Arabidopsis thaliana: one gene and its partner. The protein of the gene in region 1 interacts with the protein of each later gene in a pairwise test. Each region holds a gene or a part of one and is shown in the gene's direction. Other genes may lie near its edges.

Region 1 (7,705 bases):
ATATATATTAAAAGCATTCAAATTCAGAAAGCAAAAATTGAAATAATAATTCTGCTAATCGGATAATTGTAATAAGATGATGACGACGACGAATTAAGGTGTCATTTTTGGTACACATTCACTCACTTACTAATCATATTCGAGATTGATGATTTGCCGTATCAAAATTATTCATTGATTTTGGGTTCCAATTGGTCTTAATAAAATATAACACTTTGCAAATGTTCAAACATACAAATTTGTATGAAATGCAAGATCTATTTAATTCTAAAAGTATTACATTAAATCAAATGTAACCGGTGAAAAAGAATAAGAAAAAAAAACAAATGTAACCATTTCTTTGCATTATAGTTTTAAATAGACAAACTTAAATATAATTACAAGTACAACTCTTGATTTTATATTGGGATACAGGGATAATAGTATAGGTTTGATTGGTGATTATCAACCGCAGTTTTTTTTCTTGTCATCATTTCAACTGCAATTTGGGATCCAAAAAACAACCAATTGTAAATACTTCACATTGGTGGGTGAGAATAAAAGTGTCAACTTCATTTTCCATCTCTTTATCTATCTAATCAAAGAATTCTATCAACTCAATGATGAAGAAACTTCAACTTTGCATGTCTTGAGAAAAAAAGATATTCCAGCATATCAATGTCGAATCATGTGATTTGAAAGGATAAAAGTATATTGCTCACAAAATTTCTAAGTGTTTTCGCGGAAAATAATAATAATATATGCGATTCTATTCTTTTCTTTGTCAATTGTTCCAAAAATACATTACGAAATTTTACGGTAGAGCACCACAAAAAAAAACGATATTGCTCAATAAAACATTCACATCAAGAAGTTATTGCTCAATAAAAAAAAATTGTTTTGTAATAAAAAAAACTTTTCTTTTAATATATTTTTATTTTTGTAACTGTGAGGTTCAACCATAAATTTTTTTTTTATTAAAACCAATAAATATAGCTTAAATCTCTTTCAAACTTTTTTACATATGTGACTAACCATCAGTGACAATTCGAATTTAATATTACTCACGGTCTAGCAGATGTGTTATAAATTTTGAAATCAATTATAATTTTACAAATTATATCAAACTTGGACTTTGAGTATGTCTCTATTTGCCTTAAATGATCAAATATTACATAAACAAAAAAACTTGAAATTAAGGTTATTAATAAATAATTTAATATTTATTTTTGAATTTTGGTGGATTTAGAAAGAATAAAAGTATTTTTTCTGGGAAAATATGCATATTTATATTATTTGAATTGAGTATAGTAAACTAAGGGTGTTAAATGAAAAACAAATTGTTGTATGTACAAATTGACTTCATTTGGTCAATGAAAGAAAGTTGCAGTGTTGGGGGATAAGTATTGAGCGGCGGCTAAAATACTAAAGATTTTCTAATATTGCCATAAAAGATATTTTTTGTAACTTTCTATTTGTCACGGCACTGATTTTTTCAAAACTCCCATGACACAGCTGTCTTTACCCCATAATATATTGAACGTAAAGTAACTTCTTTGACCAATTGACCATGCTTAGTTGCTTACGTTGTTTATACAAAAGATTCATTGTTGGAAGTATAAGTAGCAGTAATATTACATCGTAGGTTGTTTTCTCTCATTAACATCGTCTCTAGGTGACTAGAAGAACGATCCTTTGTGTGTGAACTCGTGAGCAGAATCTAAACGAAAATTATATAAAGCTTAGAATTCATTAGAAAAAAGTGACATACCAAGAAACCCGAAAATGGGGAAGTTAATTTCATTTGAACAAAAAAAAACATTGTAGTTTTGTAATAAAAGGGTTGACATGGTCTTAATGTGGAAGAAGTAAAGAGGCTCACGAAAAGTCCATGTTGTCTACAAAGGAAGAAACAAGAACCAATAGAATTAGAGTTCAAACCAAAGGACGAAGTATGCAAGTTAATTTGACAAGCTAATATCCTAAGAATGAAGACATGGTCTAACTTTGAAACAGCAGCCACTAGTGTCCTATAAATACATAGAGTTCATTAACCTCTCATAATATCTCACAATCAAAGTTCTATCTCCTCAAGTATCAATACATTGATATCCATTAAAAAAAAGAAATATCAATACATTGCTTTGCTTGTTCTGTAAGATGCAAATGGACAGCCCCAAATCTCCTCTCCAGCCCCCGACCTATGGAAACTTAGTTACAATCCTCAGCATCGACGGTGGTGGCATTAGAGGGCTAATCCCTGCCGTTATCCTTGGTTTTCTCGAGTCCGAACTCCAGGTATATATGTGCTACCTAACTATACAAATATTATGTTTGTAAAATTATATTTTCTTAACTCATATATATACATGGATGCATAGAAATTGGATGGAGAAGAAGCAAGGCTTGCAGACTACTTTGATGTAATAGCGGGAACAAGCACCGGTGGTCTAGTGACAGCCATGCTCACCGCGCCTAATAAGGAAGGCCGACCCTTATTTGCAGCGTCTGAAATTAAAGATTTCTATCTTGAGCAATGTCCGAAGATCTTCCCTCAAGATCATTTCCCATTCTCAGCCGCCAAAAAACTCGTGAAGTCCTTGACTGGTCCTAAATATGACGGTAAATACCTTCATCAGCTTATCCACGCTAAGTTGGGTGATACAAAGTTGAGTCAAACACTTACCAACGTTGTCATTCCAACGTTCGATATCAAGCATCTTCAACCTACTATCTTTAGTAGTTATGAGGTTTGTTTATAGCTTGTTCTATTTGTGAAATTACAATATAATAATTAACAAAACTTTGGTTTAATATATATATGACTATTTTATAGGTAAAAAACCATCCTCTCAAGGACGCAACCCTCGCAGACATTGCCATCTCAACTTCAGCTGCCCCTACATACTTGCCTGCCCATTTCTTCAAAGTTGAAGATTTAAACGGAAACGCTAAAGAATACAATCTTATTGATGGTGGAGTTGCAGCTAACAACCCGGTAAATTTCTAAATATTGGATTTATCATTTATGTAGCAATAGGGTTTTTATACGAAGAATATAATATATCAACAATTATTATGGACTTAAATTGAATAATTATAACATGAACACACAATGTTAGACTATATTTCATTTTTTACTATGGAATTTCTTATAATAATCGATACGAGTTTTCTGTAAAAATCTTGAATAGATCATGATATAGTTGTTATATGTCAAGTATAGGCTTTGTTGGCCATTGGGGAAGTAACAAATGAGATCTCAGGAGGAAGCAGTGACTTTTTCCCAATAAGACCAAATGATTACGGAAGGTTTCTTGTGCTTTCGCTTGGAACCGGAAATCATAAAGCCGAAGAGAAATTCAATGCAAAAGAAGTAGCTGGTTGGGGACTATTGAATTGGTTAACACACGACAACTCTACACCTATCATTGATGCTTTCTCGCAAGCTAGCTCCGACATGGTTGATTTCCATCTCTCTGCCGTTTTTCGAGCTCTTCATTCCGAAGCCAACTATATTCGCATCCAGGTATCAAAATCAGCTAGCGCACTAACCATTTCTTTTTCTTTGTCTCCACAATTCCTAAGATTTGGGTATTAATTATATAGGATGACACATTAACTGGGGATGCTGCTTCTGTTGATATCGCTACCGTCGAGAATCTGGACATTCTTGCCAAGACAGGAGATGAACTACTTAAAAAACCTGTTGCAAGAGTCAACCTAGACTCGGGTTGTAACGAAAATGCTTATGAAACGACTAATGAACATGCTCTTATAAAGTAAGTGGCCCAATTTTTGCATTTTATAGCTTTATTCTTTCATACTTAAGGTGATTAAAAGTATTTTGCTAATATATTTAAATTTTGGTTGTGAAGGTTAGCAGGAATACTTTCAAAAGAAAAGAAGATCCGAGACATTCGTTCACCTCATGCAAAAGCTCCAATTAGGATCTAAAGAGATCAATTATTGTATCTTGTATATTGTTGATGATTCGTTTGTTTCACTAATGCACGTTTGGATTTATATTAATAAAAAGGTTGCACCACATTGTGGTCACTTGTACGTTTGAATAAAGTCAATAAATATTTAATGGATGGAAATGCTCTAAAATGTTTGGTCATTTTTCAACATACATTATACTAATAGAATAATGGCGAATAATACATAGACACGTACGTACTGAAACCAAAGTTATCTCAACTAATCTAATTATCTAAGCCTTTTTTTTATGGCTTATCAACTAATCTAAGCATAATGTAAATATAAAAAAAACTATTTATTTTTTACATCTGCCCTATTTAGGCTAGTTATGAAATAATTAATGGCATGACATGTAAATAATAACAAAATTAAGGGTGTTTGGTTTTCCAATGTTTGTCGATTAGGCTGAAAGCGAGAAATCAAAGTGAAGGCAGCGTCTATCTTGGTCGTCGGAATCCATGGCTTCTCTTCTCAGGCCAACTCCATTACTCTCTACACCTCGTAAGCTCACTCACTCTCATCTTCACACATCTATCTCTTTCCCATTCCAAATCTCAACTCAGAGAAAGCCACAAAAGCATCTTCTCAATCTATGTCGTTCGACACCAACACCGTCACAACAAAAGGCCTCACAGAGGAAGAGAACAAGGTACAGGAAACAATACCCAGGAGAAAACATTGGTATAACTGAGGAAATGAGATTCGTCGCCATGAGATTACGCAATGTTAATGGTAAAAAATTAGATCTTTCTGAAGATAAAACTGACACCGAGAAGGAAGAAGAAGAAGAAGAAGAAGACGATGATGATGATGATGAAGTAAAGGAAGAGACTTGGAAGCCTAGCAAAGAAGGGTTTCTTAAGTACTTAGTTGATAGCAAGCTTGTCTTCGATACTATTGAACGAATTGTTGACGAATCTGAGAATGTGTCTTGTAAGAACCCTACTTTGGTCTCGAATTTGACAGTTTGGTAATGATTTGGGTTAATGGGGTTTGTGTTCAATGTACAGATGCTTACTTTAGGAGAACAGGATTAGAGAGATGTGAAAGTATTGAGAAGGATCTACAATGGTTAAGAGAACAAGATTTGGTTATACCAGAACCAAGTAATGTAGGAGTTTCTTATGCAAAGTATTTGGAAGAACAAGCAGGAGAAAGTGCTCCTTTGTTTCTTTCTCATTTCTACAGTATCTACTTTTCACATATTGCTGGTGGTCAAGTTCTTGTAAGACAGGTTAGTTTCTTTGGAAAGCTTTCATAAAGTAACATAGAAGAGTTATATAACTGCATAAGGTCACATCCAGCATATTGAATGGTTAAAGCTAGTTCGATATATTAAAGATTAGTATCGATATAAATGGATTCAGGAGAGTTCGATTTATCGGGAGTTTTGCTGGTTTTTAGTATACTTTTCACACATTGCTGGTGGTCAAGTTATTTGTAAGACAGGTTAGTTTCTTTGATAAGTGTTCACAGAGTAACATAGAAGAAATTTTCAACTGCATAATGTCACATCTAGGATATTGAATGGTAACAGCTAGTTTGATAGAGTTAGAGATTGATATAGATATAGTGGATTCAGGAGAGTTGGGTTTATCGGGAGTTTTGCGGTTATGGTGGGTATGAGAGAGTGGCGATAAGAATGAGAATGAGAATGTGAGAAGATTTCCATTCTTCTTCATTGAGACTCAACTTACAAATAGAACTGTGATAAAGAAACACTCAGATCCTAAACCAAAACCAACCAACACCAGGCTTGCTCAATTAGTTTAAAGCTTGCCCCAAAAGAACTTGTTAACCGACTGTTAGTTAGGTTAATGTGGTATTAACCAACGGGTGAACTATGCTTTTGTCTTTATTTTTGAGATTTATCATAACTGTACATTCTTTTTGTTGGTTCTGTTGTGTTCTGGTTCTTACTTTTATCAATATATCCCATGATTTGGACTGTCATAATTGTTTGGTAACCCTTATATGCGAGGTGTTCAAATGTAACTGATCAGTTGATTCATTAAGGTATCTGAGAAACTTCTGGAAGGAAAGGAGCTGGAGTTCAATAGGTGGGAAGGGGATGCACAAGACTTGCTTAAAGGCGTCCGTGAGAAGCTTAACGTGCTTGGGGAGGTCAGATTGTCAATGAAAATTATAACTCTTCATTCCACCAGTTGCTAAAATCTGATGTTTTGGTGATGCTTTTGGGAAATGAAGCACTGGAGTCGGGACGAGAAGAACAAATGCTTGAAGGAAACGGCAAAGGCATTTAAGTATATGGGGCAGATAGTTCGCTTGATCATCTTGTAAATATCTAGGTTTTAAAGTTAACAGTTTCCGGCACCAGACCTGTGTTCACTACGGTAAGTCTGGAATAGTTTCAAAACTTTCATTGTCAACTGTCTCTTCACTGAAAATCAAATCTCCCCTGCAGATTGCATTGCTCCAATATGCATACCGCAAGCATTGTGGTCTCGCTAATTCAGGGCAGTGCTGGAAATGAAGCTGATGACCACCAGCCAGCCTACATGGCTGGAAGAGTAACTTTCTGTTATTTGTTGGCTTAAGTCAGCAGTAAAGATAAGTCACCAAATTACTTATTGAAAAATGTAGCCAAAGGTTGTGGCCTTCGTCTCATGATTGTTTGATAAGATATTGTTGTTCCTCAGTTATATATATTTGAATTTTGGTGATTTGCACACTAATCATTGCTTCTAATTATCTGAATAAAAAGATCAAATATGACTCACTAGCTATTTTGGTTGCTACATCAACATAATAGTTCATTTGGCTTTTTACCTTTTTGACATTTTGAATTTAATTTATCTTCGAATTATCTAAGACTCTAGTATATATCAATCTAACCCACATCCTTAGCTTGGAAGGCCAAGGGTTGTAGACGACATTAATCGCTCATTTTTATATATATATTTGATATCTATTATTCAAAACCGAAAATGAAATTTTGGTCTTATTCGGCAACTTTATAATGAATATTTTCAAATTGTAGTTTTCTTATAAATATACTATCATTCGAAGTTTTATTTTTGAATCAACAATTTTAGTTAAAGAAACCATGCAAAATTGAAAGTAAAGAGACATATAGTTGGCTTAATGTGTTCGTAAAGAGATTTGTGCGTAGTGTTAAAGAGCATACATACTTCAATATTAAGAAATATTTGGATGTAAAAACACAATTTTAGTGGTAATATCAGTAGTAAATTTTTAAGTAAATGTAAATAAGATGATAATTTGCATGTAAAACATTTCTAAAAAATTTGTTGAACTATATTTATTACAAGATTGCAAACCTAACTTTTTTTAGATTTTGAAATAATAAATAATAATATTTAACAAATTTTGGTGATTCATAATTTAACTTTACTAAATTTTTATTGGGCCGTAGTGTGTAAACAACTTGAATAGACTAAAAAACACTATTGGGCTGTAGTGTAACAAAATTGGGCTCAAATGAAAAAACAAAAAACAAAAAAGAGAGACATTAAAACGCACGTGGAGATAGAATTGTATTCAACTATTCATCATCTTCGTTTGGATTTGGTTTCTTTCTGTTTCTGACAAAAACCACCGGCAAAATAAAGCGACTACGATTCCATTTTCACCGGCGCTTCCGTGAGACAACATCTCTCCATCTTGGAACTTTTTCTAATGGCATTATTACTCCTTTCTCACTGCTCTATCTTATCTTTTCAACCTCCATTATCGTCTTCTTCTTCATTTCATTCTTCAC
Region 2 (6,032 bases), on another chromosome or scaffold:
ATCAACCCCGCCGCAAGAACCGCTTGCTCATTCAAACGCGCTTTTTCTGCATCTTCCTCAACGACACTACTACTCTCTCCAAATATTCTACTGCTGATATTCAAAGCAGGGAGGCCGAGAACAATTTCTCTCATATTGGTTTCTTCATCGCTCCATTGCTCATCAGATTCCTCTTTCTCTTCCTCAGTAACATCCACTTTCGTTTTCTCTGGGTTCGGATTACTCATACTATTTTCGCACTTTAGTCTAGGGATTGATGTTTCAAAACGACATTGAATTAGCCCTTATATAAAGTTTTCTCTGAACCATGGCGGTTATGACAGTTAATTCCTCTCCCGCCTTTTCGTTTGAAGATTTGCATCCGTCGTTTGTGATTGGTCCGTCCTAAACTCTGATATTACGTAAATTTGGGCTTAATATCGTATAAAGCCCATTACTAGCCCATAAGTTATTCGTACTTGGTAGGTTGGTTCAAGAGTTTTTCTTGTTTTCTGTTTGTAATCGTTTCTCGTGCGTTTTTGGTCATCGAGATTGCAAGAGTCGTTGCAACTGCACTAATACTATTATGCATGTGACATCCGACAATGACGTGACTTGTAAACTTTTGTTTTGACATATTTTTTCTTTATTTATTATTACAATAACATTATCATTTTTTTTTTTTGGGTGGAAACATTATCATTTTTATTAGCCATTCTTTATTTATTCTATATGTTTTTACTATTTAAAATTTAAACATTGATGTATACCGGTAAACATAGTTTTCAATGTCAGAAGGAAGCTCTTGAAGCTATGTAATAAATCACAAATACAACAAATTGCAACACCAAAAAAAACTAATGTAACCATTGATGTGTGATATATGATATAGCGAAGCCGCAACTGTCTTAAATATTATTTTGAATAATATCTACACACTAGACTCTAACTAAACGTTTAACAGTTTTCTAAAAATGCAGATATAAAAAGTTATCTAAAATATTTCACATATTTGAATAAGAAATTAGAAACACAATCACCTTTTGACCATTCTAAGGAAATTCAATTACAATAACTATGACCAGAATCATCTAGCCTAATTTTTGATATTCTCTAAATTAAATATTTTTAAAAAGCTTGACCAAAAAAAAAGAAATGGCAAGAACACTTACTACAGAGTCAGCATAATTCTCGGTAACAATAATTCTTAGGAAAGAGAGCAATTCTTAGCTCTGTAGTAAAACACAGATTAATAAGCTAAGATTAAGATTAAAGAATCAATATGTTGACTTTAAGATCTTAGAGCCGCGCCTTACGGAGGCTCTGGCTAGTGGTAACGAGCCTTCTTTGTCTGAAAAAGGCAACAAAAAAAACACAAAAAAGGAATAATAAATTTGAAATGAGAAAGAGAGAGCCACCACACACACCACATGGCCAAAAAAGTTACCGTTGGGTTTAGACAGACTTAGAAACAAATCGTTTCCTTCATGATCCAACGGTCATCTTAATCACCTAGCCGTTGCTATTTCCTTCAATAATAAAAAAAAATAAAATAAAAAAAGGTAGCAACTTTAATTTTAATTGATTTGATTTAATTTCTCTCTCTCGCTTATTTCATCCCCTTCTCTGACTCCTACTGATTCATTCAATTGCATCAGACGTATACACAGAGTCACAGAGAGAAGAGAGATCCTTCTTCGTTTGATGCTCTTCTTCTTCTTCTAGATTCTTCTCCAGGAGCACTATCAAATCGAGTAAAATAAACAATGGTTAATCCAGAGGAGAACAATCGTAATCTCGTTGTCAAACCCATTACAGAGATTCTTCAAGGTAGTAGTAGTAAAACGCCTTTGAAAAATCTGAGAATTATAGGTCTGACGAACAGAGAGTCTGATGTTGTTTTGTTTCTGGGTTTTGTCAGATGATGATAAGAGAAGCAGAAAATTCGGTGTAGAGATGAAGAGACAGAACAGGAGAGCATTGGGTGTGATTAATCACAATCTCGTTGGTGCAAAAGCTTATCCTTGTGTTGTTAACAAGAGAAGAGGCTTATCTCAGTAATATACTTAACTCTCTCGAATCCTAAAGTTTGTCTCTTTGATTCTTGGTTTTGGGATTTTGATGATTATTTTCTTCAATAGGAGAAAACAAGAAAGCTGTGACAAGAAGAAGCTTGATTCATTGCATCCGTCAATTTCAAGGTTAATAAAGTTTAAAGCTTTCAAAAACGTTTCTTTTGCTGAGAAAGAGAGATCTGATGTTATTTGAATTTCTGCAGATCTCAGGAAGAGACTAAGAAGCTGAAACCAAGTGGAAACGAGTTTGGTGATTGCATATTCATTGATGAAGAAGAGGAGAAGAATGAAGAAGTTACATTGGACCAACCTATGCCAATGTCATTGGAGGAACCATACATTGAATTTGATCCAATGGTAATTAACAATCACTTTTCAAAAGATCTTTAGCTTTTTTCTTTTAATGTGAATTCTAAAGAAAGTTTTTTGATTTGGACAGGAGGAAGAAGTTGAGATGGAGGATATGGAAGAAGAACAAGAAGAACCAGTTTTGGATATAGACGAATACGATGCAAACAACTCTCTTGCAGCTGTTGAATACGTCCAAGATCTTTACGATTTCTACCGTAAAACCGAGGTACGGTTTCTTAATATGTCTCTGAACCAAAACCATAAGATTTTGAATTCGGACTGAGACAATTTTCCATGGATTTTGGTAATCTGCAGAGATTTAGCTGTGTTCCTCTAGATTACATGGCGCAACAGTTTGATATATCTGACAAAATGAGAGCAATACTTATTGACTGGCTCATCGAGGTATATTCAAGCACCTCTCAATGGTAATGGATTATTGTATATATAGAGGCTAATTAAGAAGCTTCTTGGATGTTTCAGGTACATGATAAGTTTGAGCTGATGAACGAGACATTGTTTCTAACAGTCAATCTGATAGATAGATTCTTGTCCAAGCAAGCTGTTGCAAGAAAGAAGCTTCAGCTTGTTGGTTTAGTTGCATTGCTCTTAGCTTGCAAGTACGAAGAGGTTTCAGTACCTATTGTTGAAGATTTGGTAGTCATTTCGGACAAAGCTTATACGAGGACCGATGTTTTAGAAATGGTAAAATAAGATTGTTTCTTTCCAAAAACTCGGTAAAAAGATTATACATTTGATCTGATTTCAATAATATAATCTTTGTGTGCAGGAGAAGATTATGCTTAGTACTTTGCAATTCAATATGTCGTTACCAACGCAATACCCTTTCTTGAAGAGGTTCCTCAAGGCAGCTCAATCAGACAAGAAGGTAAAGAAACAAATCTATCAATGTACACAATAATATAAATGGATTGTGAATTACAAACTAATCTTGTTATTGAAACAGCTTGAGATCTTGGCGTCGTTCTTGATTGAGCTTGCTCTTGTGGACTACGAAATGGTTCGGTATCCACCATCGTTACTCGCCGCCACTGCCGTGTACACAGCTCAATGTACAATCCATGGCTTCAGTGAATGGAACAGCACTTGTGAATTCCATTGTCACTACTCTGAGAATCAACTCCTGTAAGTCTCTTTTACCCATTAGCACCTATAAAGACTCATCTTTGTAACTAATATGGGTTTGTTTTACAGAGAATGTTGTAGAAGAATGGTGAGACTACATCAGAAAGCTGGGACTGATAAACTAACAGGAGTACATAGAAAATACAGCTCCTCCAAATTCGGATACATAGCAACAAAGTATGAAGCTGCACACTTTCTTGTGTCAGATTCTCACTAAAGAGTGGAAAATAGTAGTTTGTGTATAGCTCGCTGCTAACATTTTCCCTCTCAATTTTTAATTACAAACGAAATAAGTTCAAAACATTCCTCTGATTTGATCTGTAACAAGTCTTTCTTTTATTGATATCTCAGCAATAAAATTCTCTTATACCAATCATATTTTTTGTCAATAGTTACAGATTCATAGAATATGTATGATATAAGGATGAGAGTTTTGATTTGAACTCTTTTTCTTCTACAACTTTAAATAAAACACATTGGAAATGAGTCTTAACTATACTAACACCGCAGACAAAACTAGTACCACCTAACACAAACGCTGTCGTTTTCAAGCTACATTTATATATCTCCCACCAACTCTTTCTCAGATCTTTTGTCTAAGTAAAAGCGAAAAGGGCAACAAACAAAAATAAACTCGGAGAATCTCACAACAATCATGGCGGCTACGACGAACTCTTTCCTTGTCGGAAGCAACAACACTCAGATTCCTGCTTTGAAACCCAAATCATCATCTCAATCCTTTCTTCACCTCAGCAAACCAAACACCGTCAACTTCGTCAGCAAAACCAAGCCCGTCGCTGTTAGATGCGTCGCTTCAACGACTCAAGTTCAAGATGGAGTTAGATCCGGCTCCGTCGGATCCCAAGAACGTGTCTTCAACTTCGCGGCGGGTCCAGCCACTTTGCCTGAGAACGTTCTCCTAAAAGCTCAGGCGGATCTATACAACTGGCGTGGATCTGGCATGAGTGTGATGGAGATGAGTCACAGAGGCAAAGAGTTTCTCTCGATTATACAAAAAGCTGAATCGGATCTTCGTCAGCTTCTCGAGATTCCTCAGGAATATTCCGTTTTGTTCTTACAAGGTGGTGCCACTACTCAATTCGCTGCTTTACCTCTCAATCTCTGCAAATCGGATGATACAGTCGATTTCGTTGTTACTGGTTCGTGGGGTGATAAAGCTGTCAAGGAAGCGAAGAAGTATTGCAAGACTAATGTGATTTGGTCTGGGAAATCTGAGAAATACACAAAGGTTCCATCTTTTGAGGAGTTGGAGCAAACTCCGGACGCTAAGTATTTGCATATATGCGCCAATGAGACTATTCATGGAGTTGAGTTTAAAGATTACCCTGTTCCTAAAAATGGGTTCTTGGTTGCTGATATGTCTTCTAACTTCTGTTCGAAACCTGTTGATGTATCTAAGTTTGGTGTGATTTACGGTGGTGCACAGAAGAACGTTGGTCCATCTGGTGTCACAATTGTGATCATTCGTAAAGATTTGATTGGGAATGCTCAAGATATTACTCCTGTGATGCTTGATTACAAGATTCATGATGAGAATAGTTCGTTGTACAACACGCCTCCTTGCTTTGGGATTTACATGTGTGGTCTTGTGTTTGAAGATCTGTTGGAGCAAGGTGGATTGAAAGAAGTGGAGAAGAAGAACCAGAGGAAAGCTGATTTGCTTTACAATGCTATTGAAGAAAGCAATGGCTTTTTCAGATGTCCTGTTGAGAAATCAGTGAGGTCGTTGATGAATGTGCCTTTCACATTGGAGAAGTCTGAATTGGAAGCTGAGTTTATCAAGGAAGCTGCTAAAGAGAAGATGGTGCAGCTCAAAGGACATAGATCAGTGGGAGGTATGAGAGCTTCTATTTACAATGCAATGCCTTTGGCTGGTGTTGAAAAGCTTGTTGCTTTCATGAAAGATTTCCAGGCTAAGCATGCTTAGTTTTAAGGGTTTTTGCATTTTGGTTATGTTTGTTGAAAGATGATAAGCTTTAAAGATGATAAGCTTTAAAGCTTATGATTTGTTTTTTTTTCTTCTTTTCAGAATGAATAATGTTTAACAATGTATCAAAATCTTTCTCCATCAATTGGAAAAACAAGTTTGTTAACAAACAAAGAGCTTTGTTATTTGTTTGAAGTGATTATGATTGATGATGAAAACCGCCTTAAAGAAGCTGCAGGTGATCTCATGTTCTCTTTTTAATGTCTCCTTTCCCTGCAACTCCCTGAAACTGAAGATCCTGTTTTAACAAAAAAGCAAAATTCAATTCAGATCCCAAACTATACTCAGATATATAAATACACAGTTCACTGTAGGAATTAAGAAAGTAAGTTACCATTTGGTATTGTCTCTCTATAAGCAACAGCTACATTTTGAAAGAACTCTCTGGTAGCATCTGCATATTCAATCAACTAGCATATTGGCACACTACGAAAGCCTGAGCAATGGAGAACAAAATCAGAATACTATTTTCA

What was found.
Region 2: the proteins of PLA2A (region 1) and CYCB2;2 interact in binary tests that used the Arabidopsis thaliana proteins (3 or more experiments, as listed by UniProt).

The regions. Positions count from the first base shown.
Region 1 is NC_003071.7:11,290,143-11,297,847, reverse strand, and holds PLA2A (phospholipase A 2A), read left to right. Parts: upstream 1-1,929; 5' UTR 1,930-2,139; coding exon 2,140-2,277; intron 2,278-2,360; coding exon 2,361-2,729; intron 2,730-2,815; coding exon 2,816-2,977; intron 2,978-3,205; coding exon 3,206-3,508; intron 3,509-3,588; coding exon 3,589-3,761; intron 3,762-3,857; coding exon 3,858-3,936; 3' UTR 3,937-4,146; downstream 4,147-7,705. Other genes in the region: HO2 (heme oxygenase 2), read left to right, coding at 4,422-4,896, 4,974-5,197, 5,331-5,412, 5,501-5,583, 5,980-6,087, 6,172-6,264; HEMD (uroporphyrinogen-III synthase family protein), read left to right, coding at 7,624-7,705. UniProt on the Arabidopsis thaliana protein: Possesses non-specific lipolytic acyl hydrolase (LAH) activity.
Region 2 is NC_003075.7:16,899,999-16,906,030, forward strand, and holds CYCB2;2 (Cyclin B2;2), read left to right. Parts: upstream 1-1,597; 5' UTR 1,598-1,745; coding exon 1,746-1,809; intron 1,810-1,900; coding exon 1,901-2,036; intron 2,037-2,120; coding exon 2,121-2,180; intron 2,181-2,257; coding exon 2,258-2,411; intron 2,412-2,493; coding exon 2,494-2,631; intron 2,632-2,720; coding exon 2,721-2,810; intron 2,811-2,888; coding exon 2,889-3,110; intron 3,111-3,195; coding exon 3,196-3,294; intron 3,295-3,372; coding exon 3,373-3,551; coding exon of another isoform or gene 3,552-3,555; exon of another isoform or gene 3,556-3,620; coding exon 3,621-3,768; 3' UTR 3,769-4,003; downstream 4,004-6,032. Other genes in the region: AT4G35610 (zinc finger (C2H2 type) family protein), read right to left, coding at 1-227; PSAT (phosphoserine aminotransferase), read left to right, coding at 4,207-5,499; SERAT3;2 (serine acetyltransferase 3;2), read right to left, coding at 5,757-5,797, 5,894-5,953.